Schizosaccharomyces pombe: one gene and its partners. Changing the gene in region 2 together with the main gene of any one other region gives a genetic interaction. Each region holds a gene or a part of one and is shown on either strand. Other genes may lie near its edges. The genes, in order: SPOM_SPBC1703.09, pdc202 and irc20.

Region 1 (3,546 bases), on a different chromosome or scaffold from region 2:
AGTTTTCTAAAGCTTATGACGCAGGGTTATCTCCACGTGCTTTTGTTGACTCTTGCCGTAAGGCCAACAAATTGATTCCTGGTATTGGACATAGAATTAAGAGTAGAAATAATCCTGATCTTCGTGTTGAATTGGTCAAGGGTTACGTTAAAAAGAATTTCCCTTCAACTAAGCTCTTAGATTACGCTTTGGCCGTAGAGAATGTCACTACTTCCAAGAAGGATAACCTTATCTTGAACGTTGATGGCTGTATTGCTGTATGCTTTGTCGATTTACTTCGTAACTGTGGTGCTTTCACTCTTGAAGAAGCTAATGAATATATCAATTTGGGTATCTTGAATGGTATGTTCGTGTTGGGACGTAGTATTGGTCTTATTGGTCATCATCTCGATCAGAAACGTCTTAGGGCACCTCTTTATCGTCACCCTTGGGACGATTTCTTGTATTTGTCTTAGATTATGAACTTAAGTTTGTTCTGTTTTGGAATAGGTTTTGCTTTTCGGATTATCGTGAACAGTCTTCTAGTGGTCGTTTGGATTGACTTCTCCGCCGTACGAAAATATTTTACCAGAGATTTAAGGGGACTTAAAATTTGTTTATTATTAGTCCATAAATATTAATACGTAGTCATCTAAATTGCAACTTGCAGATAAGAATAAGATTTTGTACTATATATTTCTGATTACTTTTTCCGGCGTAACAAGGGCATCCAGTTTTTGGTCTCTGGTATCCATTGGGATTTCTCGATTTGGAAGTATTTGTTCTTTAAGGCAAATTCCCACTGGTCACGTTAGTTGTTTATATGAATTACACAGCGAGATTGGAAACGAACCTTTGAACATGTTAGCTCGTGATTCCTTTTGTAACGCCCAGCTTTGATACTTGGAAATGTAATTGTCATAGTACCCCTTTCCATGCCCTAGTCTAGATAATTTTTCATCAAAAGCGACTCCCGGAACTATTATAAGTTCACAGTCTGTTTCATCATCCATAACTAAATATGATTAATAGATTGAACAATTCTACCAGAATTTTAACCAACTCTTTCTTGATTCTCCATTGGGCTCAGCAATACCCCATTTGTTAATCGTCAAGGACTCAGTTTTCTCGAAAACTTGATACATTTCCATTACATGCGAACCAATACATTTAGGTATGAAAACATTTTTGCCTATTTTTGCATGATTAGTAATGTATTGAAAGATTTAATACTAACCTTCTTTGAAAGCCACGTCTATAAGGCATCTAGTTCGTACTTCTTTTTTTGGCATGTTCATGTACAGACAGACATTTTTGCATCTTTTCCATTCGGGTAATTCGACCACTTGTTTGCAAATGGAAATTGCTTTATGCATTTAATTGTTAAGCTTGATATTTTAAGTATACTTACATTGAGAATCAATAATATGATCCGCAAGTTTGCCTAAACTGCTATTTAAAATAGCACGTAGTTGATTCTTTTTTAAACTCATTACTTTGACTAATACGACTTAATATTTATAGTTAGTAAAAGCTTTGTTAGTGAGGTTCACAATATTATCAATATTAATCTGACTCGTGTTATAAATCGGTTATCAATTTTATAGAATATAATATATATACTAGGTAATCAAAATTCATGTTAATATTAAATGAATTAATAGCTTGAGTTAATTGTATATCTAAGAAATATCCAAATGTTCAGTAAGAAGTTAAGTATTAAAAAAATTTTCCAATACAATTTATGATGACAATTGTTTAAAATTAAAATATAGGTTCAACGATGGCGTAAAACCATTTTATGCACTTAAACTTGCTGATATTGTTAAAAATATTGATTGATTTACCTATTTTACATTGCGCGCAAGTTTTCAGATATGTATTCCTTAGTTGACTGAATACTTACTGACAGTTCTTTTGTTAATTCATACCTCCTCTACCACGACTCTCTTAAATCTTCAAAAACATTTGTTTCTGTGTTTTATAAGATATTTGGAGAAGCTTCTTATTTTATTTTTGTAATTCATCATACTTGTCAGAGCCTGAAATGCGTTTTTTTTGTAGGCATGCAGGATAATCAGGTTCTTGCGAATACGGCGAGTATGATCATGCCAAAATCTTCGTTTATTACTACTAAGCAGCTATGGGAAATAGTGTTACAAGGAAAAGTTGAAGCAACGGAATTTATCCCTGCAGATGTTTCTGATAGTACACAAACTGTTGACCGTTCTAACAAAATATCTCCTATCACGTCTCAGTTAACTATAGAACCAAACAAATCTCAAACCATTGTTAAGAAGAATCCAGATAATTTAATTTTCGTTGCAGTTAACCAAAACGTTCAACTACAATTATCAATATTAAAGCAACAACAGAACAGAGTTGCTGCTATGGAATCAGCATTACAGCGAATTCATCTAGAAATTACTGCGATGTCAGAACAATTGATTTTGCAAAAGTATCAAAAAAATCGGTTCTTTTTCATGTCATCTATTAACGCTCTTATTCGAATATCTCGAAACTGTATAAAGGTAAGTGTGCAATATATTCTTTTGGAAGTTCTTATCTTAACAAATTAGTTACTCTTTAAGAATTCTTTGGTGCTTTTAGCTGCTTGTTATTTCATGAATACGACCCCTTCAAGATTGGTCATAAATCTAATTCGTTCCGGTTACCTTATCTTAAAGCGATTCGCAAATCCGAGCTATATCTCATTTTATTAATTTTCTTTATGTTGTACATTATTATATCTATACCTCTTCTAATTTGAACCCCTTACTTTAATGTTGGCAACTCTACAGTCTTGACATAAATATACATGTTTCCGTACTTAACTGTCATCAAAATCTAGAAAAGACTCATGTTTTTGTTACTCTTACTTTTTCAAGTATTTTTTTTTCCGTTATGACATATTATTTTCTCTGTTTTTAAGGAAGTATGTACTATTGTAGTCGCGATTTTGGCGTTCGTTTGTACAGTATGGATTTTAGTTAAGTATATTTACAATTTAAGATTGACTGTAAAAACTACAAAAAGTTATAATTTTATATTAATTAACTTGAGTGAAGCCTTTGTCTGCACATATAATATATTTGTTTTGAAAACATATGAAATACTACGGAAAGTTAAGATACGCTAAACGAAATAACGATACTTAATATAATTAGCAGCATGATAGTAAAAGATTTGCCCGTGAGCATTCTTTGGGCTGTAGGGTCCCCCACTCCGCTGCGTTGGTATATGCGTAGACTGAAGCGAGCAACAGAACGTCCGCCATTACTGTGCATATACGATGAATCCAGAGTAGTAAGGATTTAGCATACTATTCAATACATCAGGAGCTAGAAATTAACAATTTATAGAGTATTTTCTTTCCAAAATTAAAGAATTCTTGTAAATTGGGCGATATAATTGCTAATCAATAGGTAATGAGTTTTTTTACCGTAAGAAGATGAATGCTAATATTAATAGATACGACTATCTCTTTAAGCTTTTACTTATTGGCGACTCTGGTGTCGGTAAGAGTTGCCTTCTTCTACGTTTTGCCGATGACACTTATACTGAATC
Region 2 (3,759 bases):
TAAATGCTTCTTAGCCCAGAAAGATTTGTCTTTTGCTCATTTAGACATTGCCGGAGTTATGGATAAGCAGCTTAATTCTTGGGATTGTGACGGCATGAGCGGACGCCCAGTTCGCACTATTATTGAAGTCGCTCGCAAGTATTAGCTTATTTATTTTCTTGGCTATATGTGCAAACTTTATGTTTTTACTTATTTACTGTTGATTACACCAATCTCATTTTTCAATGTCCTTGTTAAGTGTATGTCAATGATATGTAGCTATCATGATTTTATTCTTTTTAATACTGTTTTCCACAACCGTTCATAACGGTTGTAAGGACCGAGTCTTTCTGATGGCTCTGGTTCTGTTTCCTTTAAAAATAAAATCAATTCGGTTGAAGTCTCATGTTGTTAAATTTCACTTTCGAAGTAGCGAATTTTTTTTTTCTATTTTGAATATAGATTTGTTTATTAAATGTAGTAATCAATTTACTCATGACTATTACTTTTGTCAAACAAAATCATAATACAAAACTAAATCTTTAAAGGTAGAATATTCTCCTGTGCGAGTTTACAATACTTTGGGATATGATCAAATCAATTTTTTTTAGATATCTGTTGAAATTTTTATAACAGTAATTTTGTATTATTTATCATACTATTTATTAGCGTTACCTGCCCTCTTAAATGTACACATCATGTGGGGGTGGGGGAACCAGTGCTGGAGATCACTTCTTGCTATACCGTTTGGCTCATGGCAACTATTGAGGATAGCAAGGAGCGTTACAATTTGCAAATCAATATGATAAACAGAAAAACAACAAGTTGAAGCTTAACACTGTAGCAATATAACAATGAAAAAAATAATCAGAATTAAAGCAAGAAGCCTATAAATGGTCCATCAATTGTGAAATCGATATTGCTAGATGTCAGGCAAATCGTGAACTCGGTTGAAAAATGTCGTTAATATTCATGTGAAATCATAATTACAGCAATATGTTCAAAGACTTTTGGATACTTTATAATAATGAGGATTCTATTTTTGAGTGGTCACATGGTCTCGTAACCATGAGGTACGCCTTACTTTTACGGACGAAACAATATTTCACATTCAGCTCTCAATGTTAAGTATCCAAACAAACATGGTACAAACCAATAAAGCATGTAAATTAATAAGCTTGAAATAAGGAATAGTCATTAAATTCAGTTTAGACATAATGTAAAAGGTATCAATTTTGTCTTTGGTATAGATACAATTAAGAATTTCGAGACGGAACGTTCGGTGATGTAGAGTTTTCATAATAATTTCTGCAGTTGCTTACACTAACCGAAGAATCGTCCAGTATAAACTGCTGACGATGCCTTAAATCAATAATTGCAAATTGCATAGTTGACGTTTTCCCGGGTGGCACATAGTGAGATTTGAGTCGAATAATGAAATAGCCTCTGACGAGTGGTTTCGTACCAAGAGTTTCAAAAAGAATAATCCACATTAACTCAATGTATCATTGATGACGGAATGTTGCTTATATAGCCAGAGTAACCCTGCTCTGAAGCATCTAAGGTTATATCTTTTTAACTTTTAGCTAGCAAACTCACTTGTTCCTTTAAGTTCAGAAAGTATCTGCTGGTTATTCAACAGATAATTATCTTGCGAAAAAGGAATACACACTCAGCATTGTAATTTGTTGAGTATATTTCACAAGCACATTAAATTGCATTATCAAACATGAGTGGGGATATTTTAGTCGGTGAATATCTATTCAAAAGGCTTGAACAATTAGGGGTCAAGTCCATTCTTGGTGTTCCAGGAGATTTCAATTTAGCTCTACTTGACTTAATTGAGAAAGTTGGAGATGAGAAATTTCGTTGGGTTGGCAATACCAATGAGTTGAATGGTGCTTATGCCGCTGATGGTTATGCTCGTGTTAATGGTCTTTCAGCCATTGTTACAACGTTCGGCGTGGGAGAGCTTTCCGCTATTAATGGAGTGGCAGGTTCTTATGCGGAGCATGTCCCAGTAGTTCATATTGTTGGAATGCCTTCCACAAAGGTGCAAGATACTGGAGCTTTGCTTCATCATACTTTAGGAGATGGAGACTTTCGCACTTTCATGGATATGTTTAAGAAAGTTTCTGCCTACAGTATAATGATCGATAACGGAAACGATGCAGCTGAAAAGATCGATGAAGCCTTGTCGATTTGTTATAAAAAGGCTAGGCCTGTTTACATTGGTATTCCTTCTGATGCTGGCTACTTCAAAGCATCTTCATCAAATCTTGGGAAAAGACTAAAGCTCGAGGAGGATACTAACGATCCAGCAGTTGAGCAAGAAGTCATCAATCATATCTCGGAAATGGTTGTCAATGCAAAGAAACCAGTGATTTTAATTGACGCTTGTGCTGTAAGACATCGTGTCGTTCCAGAAGTACATGAGCTGATTAAATTGACCCATTTCCCTACATATGTAACTCCCATGGGTAAATCTGCAATTGACGAAACTTCGCAATTTTTTGACGGCGTTTATGTTGGTTCAATTTCAGATCCTGAAGTTAAAGACAGAATTGAATCCACTGATCTGTTGCTATCCATCGGTGCTCTCAAATCAGACTTTAACACGGGTTCCTTCTCTTACCACCTCAGCCAAAAGAATGCCGTTGAGTTTCATTCAGACCACATGCGCATTCGATATGCTCTTTATCCAAATGTAGCCATGAAGTATATTCTTCGCAAACTGTTGAAAGTACTTGATGCTTCTATGTGTCATTCCAAGGCTGCTCCTACCATTGGCTACAACATCAAGCCTAAGCATGCGGAAGGATATTCTTCCAACGAGATTACTCATTGCTGGTTTTGGCCTAAATTTAGTGAATTTTTGAAGCCCCGAGATGTTTTGATCACCGAGACTGGAACTGCAAACTTTGGTGTCCTTGATTGCAGGTTTCCAAAGGATGTAACAGCCATTTCCCAGGTATTATGGGGATCTATTGGATACTCCGTTGGTGCAATGTTTGGTGCTGTTTTGGCCGTCCACGATTCTAAAGAGCCCGATCGTCGTACCATTCTTGTAGTAGGTGATGGATCCTTACAACTGACGATTACAGAGATTTCAACCTGCATTCGCCATAACCTCAAACCAATTATTTTCATAATTAACAACGACGGTTACACCATTGAGCGTTTAATTCATGGTTTGCATGCTAGCTATAACGAAATTAACACTAAATGGGGCTACCAACAGATTCCCAAGTTTTTCGGAGCTGCTGAAAACCACTTCCGCACTTACTGTGTTAAAACTCCTACTGACGTTGAAAAGTTGTTTAGCGACAAGGAGTTTGCAAATGCAGATGTCATTCAAGTAGTTGAGCTTGTAATGCCTATGTTGGATGCACCTCGTGTCCTAGTTGAGCAAGCCAAGTTGACGTCTAAGATCAATAAGCAATGAGCAAGCTATTGAGAGTGGAATTGGCAAACAAAGTTTCCTTTGATTTATATGTTTTTTATGATAAGCCCATTCAATTCATATAGTCTTTTAGTATAATGATTAGTTATTAAATTTATGTTTAAAGCAACTTTTTAGTTTAAAATTTTTCAAGTCAAGTTAGGGTGTACGTAAACAAACAATACCTTGGAAGCAATGAATGAAAAGGTAGAGTTAATCCAAACAATGTGGAAACCAGTTTCCTTGCATCTACTTACTAGTTTCGCAGAAAAATTGCTAAACTGCTTAAAAGCCAACTTTAACATTCTTATTTCTTACATAGGAGCTACCGTTCCATT
Region 3 (3,759 bases), 4.1 Mb from region 2:
GTTTCTTCTCTATAATTTGCATCCAAGCTTGTTTTTTGTATAAATACATAGGGGAGTAGCGAAGAAGAAATAAAAGGCCAAAAAGGTCATCAACTTCACTACGTACGGGAGTTCCACTTACAGTCCAACAATTGACACGAGGTATGCGATAAATCATTTGTGCGACATTACTCTGTGAAGTTTCAACCATCTGAGCTTCATCAACACAAATTCTCCACCAACATACATCAATCAATGGAGACTTTGGAGAAACATGTCGCTTTTCATGTCTTAAGGTCCTGGAATGAGATTCAGTGTACAATAGCTCAAACCGTAAATCAGAATAAGATGTTACCACTATATCACAATCCAAAAAAATTTTAGCTGATTTCAAACCATTGGATTTTCGGATTCCTTGGTAATGGAATACTTTCAATGATGGCACATGCAAATCTATCTCAGATAACCATTGATCGAGAATTGTAGAAGGCGTAATTATTAGGGTGGCCTTGGAATACTTTACATTTTTTCCGACGACCTGATCGAAAGTACAAGTATCAGTCAAAGAAATTGGCAACTGATGATGCAAAACTAATCCTAAGACTTCCAAAGTTTTTCCCATGCCCATTTCATCGGCTAAAATGCCTCCACGTATATCACCGGACGCAAGCAAATATGTTTTTTCTTTCGAAAATGTCATATAGCCGTAAACATGATTAACGTAAACCATTCGATCATCAAAAAGACTTTTGCAATGGTACCATAGAGGTGGTAAATCATTTGAGGTTAGGAATTTCTCTTCTTCTCTTCGTTTCATCCATTCTAAAACACGCATTTGAAATGGTAAAAGTTCCGAAGAAAGCCTTGGATCGCGTGATACATTGGCGAAACGTAGGCTTTTTGCCAATTTTCTTGCACAATCGTAAAATAGTGCAGTGTTAATATCTAAACAAGAATATTCCTCATCTTCAGACGGAAGGAACGTATAGTCTAGTAAAGCAGTGTATGAGGAAGATGATCCAGATGAAAGAATCGCATCTTGAGGGGCAAGAAAAGAGTCGAGTATGGAAATGCCAAACGACAAAATTAACTCGGATCCTTTTACAGTAACATAAGATGTGTATTTTATAATTTTCTTCAGCCGCCTATTATCCTCCCAAAGCTTACTCCAAATTTTGAGAGGTGCTTTTAAAGCAGAGTAAGTATCCTTATTCAAGTCGACAGAAAACAAAGGAATCAAGTTTTTGGCCAATGAAATTTTTCTTTGAGTAAAACTATATGCATGTAGTTTCTCAGATCCATCAACCCAAAAAACGACAGGATAAATAGTAGACTTTAGCCGATTTAACTCGTCCTCTGGTCCACGCCATATCTGCTGGTCTAGCTTGAGTTGGTGCTGGAATGCACGGTAGCAATTGGCGAAATCACTTTCCAAAAGGTTGTTTCTTTCATTTAGTAAGGAAGCCTCCTTCTCTATTTTTCGCCTCTTAGTTCGGTCCATAATGTTCCCTCTCTTAATTAAATACAGTCGTGTTTTGAACCAATAGACTTAAAAATTTTAGAATGAATAGAATTCTTTAATGTACAAAGAAATAAACGAAAATATATAAACCCTCAAGAACACAAAAGGGTAGGCATTGTGTTATGTGCTTTTGTTCTTAGTTGTGGGCAAAAAGTGTCTTGATTAAAACATGTGCCACTTTTTTTTTGCTAAAGCTTGCAGAGTCGAATATTACTTTGGTATTTTTTCCCCACCTTTCTTCCCTCTTTTTTTTTTTGGTTTAAAAGTACGACAAGGTAAATATCGATAAATCGTTTGTAAGGGAATTCTATTATTCACGGTTGAATCAGTACAAACACGAATTAGAACTCAAAATTACCTAAGAAATAACATCTACGTTAATTAGTAAGTAAATTGTAAATACTATTAAAATTACCGATACACTTAATATCTCATTTGCTGGCTAAAAGAAAGAGCCCTTTTTACTCGGTATTGTACAAACACACTATTCCTTATTGCTAAAACACTGTGCTCATCCTTTAAGTATATATCGATTACCAAGTTTAATTCAATTAGCAAAAAAATATAAATTCTAAATAAAACGTAAACTGGTAGGAAAGTTTTTAAAAGTGATGTCACCTTCACTGGACAAAGATTATTGTTATTGTCATAAACTAAAGTACAAAATATAAACTAAAGATTGTATACATATTAAAGAAATATCCTAGTTTGAAGGATTCTTGTCGTCGCAAATATTGTTAAACCAAACTGCGTTTACCGTATTACATTGCAATTCGATTTGTTAGACTATTATGTCAATAAGACAAACGCTAAACTAAGGTTAATTCTACTAGTGTGTAATATTTTTTTATGTACGCACACATTGCAAAATTGAACTTACCCTTAACCAACAACACGATTGGGAATTAGCAGAAAACAGTGACAAGTGGGTAAGAAAAAGAATCTGGAAGGATAAACGCTCTTTTTGCGCGACCACCAAAAGTATATAAAAGTGCAAATTTCCGTCTACGTCTCCTATTTAAGACAATCTCTCGAATAAGGACTTTTTGATCAACAGCAGATTTCAAATCATTGATTGATTTGAAATAGTAAAATTATTGTAAAGCGAGCAGTTGACAAACAAAACGTTTGTTTAGCTTGTATCCGAAGAAAAATTATTCAACGATTCAATTTAGTGATCTCGGAATTTCTAGAAGAGAAAAAGCTTACTTACACGATGCCTGCTATTATGGAAAAGAATATGCTCGTCAGCGAGTCGTTGCGTACGACGGAATTACTTGGCCATGTTAAACCAATTGACTCAGTGGTGACATGGTCTTCGCCTGGATCGTCTCGCCAGGCGATTGGTGAGGCGTTTAAAAACACGATTGAGGAAATTGAGCGTGCAGCTGTCCGTGGTGAACCCGCTGACTCTGATGCATTTTTTGTTGCTGATTTGAACGGAGTATATCGCCAACTTCTTCGTTGGCATGCTAAATTACCTCGTGTTCAACCATTTTATGCAGTCAAATGTAATCCTGATCCTAAGGTACTTGCATTGCTTAATAAATTTGGAACTGGTTTTGACTGTGCTTCTAAGGGTGAACTCGAACAAATTCTTGGCTTAGGTGTATCCCCTGATCGAATTGTATACGCCAATCCTTGTAAAGCCATAACTTATGTGCGCTATGCTGCTTCTAAAGGCATTAATCTGATGACTTTTGATAATGCCGATGAGCTGTACAAGGTGAAACAACATCATCCCAACTCACGTCTTCTTCTTCGTATTTCTACCGATGATTCCAATAGTCTTTGCCGTCTCAGTCTAAAGTTTGGTGCTTCTCTCGATGATACTGGTAAGCTGCTAGACATCGCAAAGTCCCTGGAGTTAAATGTCGTCGGTGTTAGCTTTCACGTTGGGTCAGGAAGCTATGATCCCTCAGCATTTTTGGATGCTATCCAACGATCTCGTCAGGTATTTGATCAGGGACTTGAAAGGGGATTTAATTTTGACTTGTTGGACATTGGTGGTGGTTTCATGAATGACAGCTTTGATGGCGTAGCAGACCTTATTCGCTCTGCCTTGGATACTTATTTTGATCCCTCCATCCGTGTTATTTCTGAGCCCGGTCGCTTTTTCGTCTCTTCTTCGTTTACTTTGGCTGTCAATGTAATTGCCAAACGGAAGCTTGATGATGAAGAGAAGGTGATGTATTACGTAAACGATGGTGTTTATGGTAGCCTTAATTGTATTTTGTTTGACCATCAACATCCAGTTG

Evidence for each region.
Region 1: mutations in pdc202 (region 2) and SPOM_SPBC1703.09 together harm fitness less than expected from each alone (positive genetic interaction), as found in Schizosaccharomyces pombe (one large-scale study listed by BioGRID).
Region 3: mutations in pdc202 (region 2) and irc20 together harm fitness more than expected from each alone (negative genetic interaction), as found in Schizosaccharomyces pombe (one large-scale study listed by BioGRID).

Annotation. Positions count from the first base shown.
Region 1 is NC_003423.3:2,929,718-2,933,263, forward strand, and holds SPOM_SPBC1703.09 (uncharacterized protein), read left to right. Parts: upstream 1-1,917; 5' UTR 1,918-2,045; coding exon 2,046-2,510; intron 2,511-2,558; coding exon 2,559-2,702; 3' UTR 2,703-2,914; downstream 2,915-3,546. Other genes in the region: acl1 (ATP citrate synthase subunit 1), read left to right, coding at 1-455; fau1 (5-formyltetrahydrofolate cyclo-ligase), read right to left, coding at 669-781, 833-994, 1,043-1,171, 1,217-1,345, 1,391-1,472; GTPase Ypt1, read left to right, coding at 3,272-3,282, 3,451-3,546.
Region 2 is NC_003424.3:583,889-587,647, forward strand, and holds pdc202 (pyruvate decarboxylase), read left to right. Parts: upstream 1-1,708; coding exon 1,709-3,424; 3' UTR 3,425-3,607; downstream 3,608-3,759. Other genes in the region: ysp2 (peptidase family M17 cytoplasmic leucyl aminopeptidase yspII (LAP yspII)), read left to right, coding at 1-145.
Region 3 is NC_003424.3:4,656,977-4,660,735, reverse strand, and holds the start of irc20 (ATP-dependent DNA helicase), read right to left. Parts: upstream 1,640-3,759; 5' UTR 1,481-1,639; coding exon 1-1,480. Other genes in the region: ornithine decarboxylase Spe1, read left to right, coding at 2,718-3,759.